Caenorhabditis elegans: one gene and its partner. The protein of the gene in region 2 interacts with the protein of the main gene of each other region in a biochemical or structural test. Each region holds a gene or a part of one and is shown on either strand. Other genes may lie near its edges.

The links.
Region 1: the proteins of frpr-3 (region 2) and flp-20 interact in a test that uses a peptide from one of them, tested with the Caenorhabditis elegans proteins (one large-scale study listed by BioGRID).

What each region holds. Positions count from the first base shown.
Region 1 is NC_003284.9:9,348,757-9,351,907, forward strand, and holds flp-20 (FMRF-Like Peptide), read right to left. Parts: upstream 1,139-3,151; 5' UTR 1,117-1,138; coding exon 1,005-1,116; intron 955-1,004; coding exon 882-954; intron 818-881; coding exon 715-817; 3' UTR 520-714; downstream 1-519.
Region 2 is NC_003283.11:7,769,668-7,773,780, reverse strand, and holds frpr-3 (G-protein coupled receptors family 1 profile domain-containing protein), read right to left. Parts: upstream 2,521-4,113; 5' UTR 2,454-2,520; coding exon 1,851-2,453; intron 1,482-1,850; coding exon 1,379-1,481; intron 1,107-1,378; coding exon 941-1,106; intron 892-940; coding exon 776-891; intron 729-775; coding exon 634-728; 3' UTR 512-633; downstream 1-511.

The DNA.
Region 1 (3,151 bases), on a different chromosome or scaffold from region 2:
ACATAATGGCCAGATGTTGTAGATTGCGGTAGAAACATGCGAGTAGCTAGAATCGCTGAAAATGTTTGATTGCCTTCCTTTCATTATCCAGTTCCAGCTCCACAGTTTCAGTGTAATACTAAAAGTTATGCCACTAAGTACGAGTCCCGTTAGCATACCCTATAGTTTCAAAAATATATTAGGAATCATTACGTTGCAAAATTTTTCAACCGATTGCCAAAACGATTACTTTTAATACGTCTAATACGTCTATTGAAAAAAAAACATGCATAAATTCATCTTAGTCAAGTATATCACTGTTTTTCTTTGACAACGTATTCAACTGTACATATTGATAAACAATCAGTCATGAAGCTATCGGAAGATCATAATTATTTTGTCAGTTGCAAATATTTAATGAGACATAGAAATGGCAAACATATGAGTGGTTAGACCGCAGAGGATATGAAATCTAAAGAGCATTTTGTTTTGATCTTTCCTGAAACTTGGCATTTTGCTTAGTTGTCTTATTAATCAAGTAACACACTTTCAATTTATTATTCCAAACGTTAAAAAAAACGCACATCGTTCGATTAGATAGGGAAGGAAAGTTATAATCTCTAGAATAGGGGTCAAATAGGAGGAAGGAAAACGTTGCGAATAAGAAAACCAATGTTATTATTAATCGAAGATCAGAAATTTAAAGCCCGGAAGTCATCATGGTAGGCGTAAAAATTAACCAAGTCGGAAAACGGAACGTTTTCCAAATCTCATCATTGCACGCTTCCCAAATCTCATCATTGCTCGTTTTCCCATTCGAAAGACAGCTCGTTTTTCTCTGTAATGTTTAAAAAAAACTGTTAACGTGCTTGCAAAAAATGTCAAAAGTAATTTTAACTTACTCATGTGGTTCATCTGTGCCTTCAGCAGACAATTGCAACCCTTCCTCTTCATAAATCGGGTAGTCATCTGACACTGGAAAAATAATGGAATCAAAATTTTGAAAATTAATATCAGCTGATTACCGTTCTGGAGCTCTTGACCAGGATAACCAGATGGTGTTGCCATACAAACAGCCAAAAACACAGAAAACAGTAGAAGTGTAATAACCACACGAGATTGAGTGTAACCCAACATTTGCTCACTAAAGTTTCTGAAAAAAAGGTTTATACAACATATTGAGCCACATAACAACAAAAAATCATCAAGCGTAATTATGCAAAAAATGAATCACGAAGAGGGAGAGAACATTTATGAATTTGAAATGTTGTAAAACACTTCCTAGAACTCATTAATTATGATTTTATCGGACCTATGGAACTCAAACTTCACTGCAACTTCCAATGAAAGCATTATTGAAAAATGTCACGGAGTAGACAAAGAATAAAGCATATGAAAAATGAGCAAGGATACAAAAATAAATCCAATGTCCCGAGGCACATCGAGCACACCTATTTGATGGGAGGGTGGAGCTGAAGGGAGCGGCAGTTCTAAACTAAAAACAAAAAACTGTTCACGAATTCATTTCAAATGAAGCATTTTTGTTGTCTGGTGATGGAGGATACGAGAGTTGCAAAACAGAAACTATGAAGGAAGCGGGCTCCGGATTCCATTCATTTTAAAAGAATTCCGTGACGTTATTTTGTTTCATCGCAGTCTATATTAGGGTCTTCTCCGTTTGATCTCAAAATCTTTAAATCTTCAAATCGTGAAATATCACGAAACCCACGAAATTCAGTTTTTGTATCTGAATCAGAATCGGGTTTCAGTGATCAAAAATGAAATGCATGAATAACTCAAGAATATACTTAAATAAAAATTGAAATAAAATGCCAAAATAACGTTTTAAATCTCAAAATAGCTTATTCAAAAATTTAAACTATGGGCAATACATGTCCGAGTTCAACGTTTTCAAATGCACCAAAATGAGACAAAGTGAAGAAGTAGTTAGTTTTATGAGGTTGGGTACCGAAGTTGAACCATGCGAAACAACTACTTATATTCCGGTTTGGACGGGGAGCACTTTTTCATTGATCAGCTATAGCAGTCATTTGATTTAATAAAATACTTTCAGAGATGTTCTAGAAACAATTTTTCATAAGATTATTAAAAAAGGAAGAAACCTTATCTTTTGTCTTTATCTTATTATTAGAACTTCAGAGTGCCACCAATCATACACGATCAAAAATTGCCTTGGAGAACTCATAATCTAGTAAAATAAGTATGAATTATTTCTTATGGACATTAGAGTGGGCAAACAACTTTAGTCTTTAACTTTAAAGTTTGCATATTTAGAACATTAGCACAAATATGTGTATTTTGTTTGTATGTTTACTTTGATGTTTGAACAAATCATAAGATTTTCAGAACACTTTCAGAAGCTCTTTCTTTCCAGAAATATAAGAAAGCCTAATTTGAATTTAATCTACTAATTTTCATAAGATAATGGGAACTGTTTATCTTAAAATGATTTTTAATACATAATATCATATATTTAAATACAAATTGAGTATTTTCCGTTTTACAAGTTTTCTCAAACAAGTTACATTTTGTGATTTTTGTTGAAAACTGTTAACTGGCGTTTTTTAACACTACTGGTTTGTCTTGTAACTGATAACATTGAGGGAACACCAATAACTTAAAGAGCTCACAAAAAATGAATCGGATGTAGCGCATAGTCGGCAAAAGACAATAATGTTTTCAGAATAGTCACCCTCTGATTTTCTAAGAATTTTCCAATTTTGAAAGTGACTGGTAATGGAAAAGTAATCTGCTAAAAGTTCGAGATAATTGTGATGAAAATGGGTTTTTCGTTGCTATTGCCATTTCAAAAAAGCTGAAAAGTTCGAAATAGAAGAAGAAAAAGTCGGAAAAATAAAAAACAAGGTCGTTGTCGGATCTTCAAAATGATGGGTTCTATATCGCCTCAACACTGGCGTTGTTGCCAGTAGTCCCAAAAAGCGAAGTATGATGGTAGGAGGGCACAAGCCGAAACGACTTTTCGAATTAGTCATAAAAACTTAGGCGGGCCGTCGTCTTTCCGGTGACCAATGAAGATGTTAACTTGAATTTGATAGAGCGCGATAGAAATTATGACTGGAAACTGAAAACATGTCTAGAATCTAGAATGAAGATGTTAAAACTACAGAAATCGCATAACAATGTTATAAAT
Region 2 (4,113 bases):
TCGTTGCTTTTCCATTTTTCAATGAAATTACGTCATTTTAAGCGAATTTTTTAACGATACAATTCGACATACTAAGTAAATTAATTGAATTGATAAATGGAAAAACGAGGACGAGGACGCAACTGCAAAAATTAAAAAAAAAACATACTACCATAAACTTTTTAGCGCGCCGAGACCCATCTGAATAAATCCGTGCACCTCTATAGAGTGGATCACTGTAATTCTTAAAGTTTTTTTTTGAAAAGGTGACGTTCGTGGTGAGAACGGGCACCAATATTTTAAAGCGAAAAATTCAGTAGTTCACAGCTGGATAATAATTTTTTAAAAAGTTTTAGTTTCTCTGTCAGTACTGTTTTTAAACCAGTAGTTATTTTTAAAAAGTGAAAAAATTGTATTTATACAATTCTAAATCGAAAAACGAAACTTGGCATCGCCTGGAAAACGTATTTTAACTTTAAGAAACAAATCTCAAAAAATCTGGGATTTTCTTTTCGTAATCCATGATAAGTATATGATAGTTTATTTTTCAAAAACACCAGTGAAAATTGTTAGATAAAAAGAAGAAAACGATATGTCACTTAAAAACCCGTTAACAACAAAAATTCGATTATGGCAATAAATTGTGACAAATTCCTAGATATCACATGGCTTTGAGTAGCTCGGTTTGTAGAGCAAATTGTGAGAGCTGCTCAGGCGAGTTGACGTGCCTCTTATTGAAATCATGGATTCTGAAAAGAATTGGGTAAGGATATAATATTATTACAAATTAAAAAACCTTTGTATCTAGTGACCATTGTTCGATTTGATGTTGCCTCTGTATCATATACATTGAACTTTGACATACTAGCATACCACCGTATCCCGGGAAGTGTCCGTGCTTGATTTCGGAACCTAAAATGGGCAAAAAATTTAATATTCTATTTATTAAAGGTCTCGTTACCTTGTTGAATATTTATAGTAGAAAACAATTGCACTCGTCGAGTTGACAACAATAAGTACATTGTTGATGTCATTCATAAACCAACCAATATCTCCTCCAAAAGTCTCCTTGTCAAGAATTTCCCATATATTTAGAATAAATGAGAAGATGTAGCAAACGAGGAATACTGAAAGCTTCATGACTTTGTTGACTTTAATACTAAATTGTATTGGGGATATGTAAATAATTTTTTCATCAAATGCTATCCAAAAAATTTAATGTTTCTCAAAACTAGTGACTAATTTTAAGATTGGGTTTGTCCTCGCGGTAGGTAGAAAAAAATAAAACAAATTTTTACCGCAAATCCCTTCTATCAGTCTATGAGTGTGACCGTATTTTCATTTTCACGACCACTGAGCAAAAATCCGATTTCTAGAATATCCAAAAAATGAATCTTACCTAAAACAACCATTATCATCATTTTTGCAGTCGAATGTTCTCGTTTCACACTTGCCACTAGTTCTCTTCGTTGCTCGGATGCCTCGATAATTGTTCGCGCTACCTGGAAAATTGCTTTGTTAGAAAATTTGGGCAGTTACACTAAAACTAATCGTTTTTAGGATTACATGCTTTATCTAAATAAATAAAAATAATGTCCTACCTTCAGTTAAGTCTAGGATGTAATACTGACCCTACCCATGACTAATCCTCAGCCTAAGCACACGACCAAGCCTAAACGTAAGCCTAAGCCTAATACTCAGCCTAATCCTAAGCATACGACTCAGCCTAAGCTTAAGCCAAGGCCTAAGCCGAAACCTAAATCTAAGATTAAGCCTAAGACTAAGTTTAAGCTTAAACCTAAGCATACATCTAAGCATAAGCCTGAGCCTAAGGCCTACTCCTACTCCTCAACCCATTGTAACCAACTTACTTGAATGTTGAGAACACATAACACTGTAAGTGGAAATGCGAATTGCGACACCAACGTGGCAACATTCTGGTACCACAATAAGAAGTGCGGATTTGCTCGAAGCTTCGGTACAACAAGATCTTCAATCGTACGATTCTCAGGAGCGACATCGAAATTTATCGTGTACTCCCAAATTCGAATCAAATTGTAAGCAACACTGAATATCACGACAACTCCAACAGTTATGAGAGCGCGATTCCTTGTACAATACGTATTGACCATGAATGGATGACATACGGCTAAGTATCTGTCAATTGTTATGGATACCAGCAACCATACTGACACTGACTGGAACATTATGGTCACTGGATACAAGTACACCATGATCATTGCAGTAATTGTTGGCGGAATGACTTGTTGAAGTTGAGTACTTGCAAAAACTGGAATTGCAAGAACGCAGACGCAAAGGTCAGACATTGACAAGGCTGCGAGCAAGACGTTTATGCTCTTTTTCCGGAATGTTTTACGAGTGTAGATGTAGAATGAGATGAAGTTCGTGAGAATTCCACCAAAGCACATCAGCACCATCACGTTCACCAGAACCCGGGAGAGTAGTAGCAACATTGTTTTTGTGAGAGTTTAGTGGAAGTTGAAGATGTTTGTTGGTCAATTGTGCATTTATGAGCTGAAAATGCAAAAGTTCAAGGTGCGTAGAGGAACAGTGAATGCAAGGAAGAACACAGACAATAAGGGAAATATTATTTTCTAAGATACGCATGACGTCATAGCACTCTAATACTTTTAAAACCTTCTTTCTAGGCAGCCTAGGCTTACATTTTGCTGAGGCACCTAATGTAGAAATAGAAGGTGCGCACAACACCTGTGCACCACGCCATATAAAACATATTTAAAATACTAGCATCCTATAGAATACAGAACGTAAAAATAGAGATGTCCAAGAAAACTGAAGAAAAAATAAGAAAATGGAGGGAGGAAATTGAGCTAATTGATGAATATTGCTCAGCTGTTCATTTGGTGGCAACTGGAAACAGGGGCACAATTGTTCCTCTTCGGGGAACCCCATGTTCTTGAAATGCTCACAACTTCATCAAATTTTCCAGATAGGAAAAGATGGATCGCAAACAAAATAAAGCCTGCTAACTGACAGCTTCACCACACACACTCTCCAAACAACTTTAATAATTCATATAGATTCATCTCATCATAATGCACTTCCGTGGGGGTGGGACATATTCCTGAAATTAGTGCACGATTCTTTGTCATCAGATCCTGGATTCTGATTTTAGGTTTGGGCTTAGGCTTGGTTTAGACTCAGGCTTCAGATATTTGGCGTTGCCTATGGCTCAGACGTGCTTTCAAAAACAGGTGGGTACTGAGAATCCGAGTTATTTTTGGTCCTACAAAAATTGAGGAATTCGCATTTCTCCGAAAATTTTCATAAAAATCCGTTCTGTGACATTTTCCACGAAATTCTTTGAAATTCACAGAAATTCGCAGACACTTGAAAAAGGTTCGGAAAATTTTAGATTGTAAACTGAAGAGCCTACCATTGCGTCTTGTTTATTGTTGAAGTAAACAAGATGTACTTTTTTTTCTAATTTGATAGTTGAACCTTTAATGTTCCAACATTTATTCAAAAAGGTATAGGTAGGCACGTAGGTATGACATGATTAAAATTACCTGATCTTTTATTTTTTCCCCAGTATCTTTCTGCTAGAGAATTCAATTGACCTATTTGGAAAGGCTAGACTATAAAATGAAAAGGAACAAGAAAAAGTAATTATCAAGAATTTTTGCAACACTACCTGGTTCAGACGTGATCATTAATACTTGAAGCCCCCAAATAAAAACATTGAAGAAACAGAAGTGAAGAGCAAAAAGTAGGGAAAAAAAGAAAAGGAAAAACGCGAAGAAGATTCAGATAACAAAGGAGAAACGAACACGTTATGAGGGCAATTATTGGGTCCGGAGATGGGGAGCCACGAACAGCTTATGGGCGGGACGTACTTGAGCAACAAAGTGTAGGAGGTCCCGGGAAAGTTAGTTGCTAATTTATATCCTACTCATGAAAGCATTGGTTTTTTAAAGTACATTCAAACTCATTAAGAGAATCCGAAAAAAGCAAGTAGCTTGAAACCCCTTTCATTTTGAAATTTCGGAGGGATCAGGAAGTATTTGAATTAACAGAGGGATAAAGGGATATTTATATATTGAGCGCTAACGTAGGTGAAAGCATAAACTATGTCTAACTAATGAAAAAATA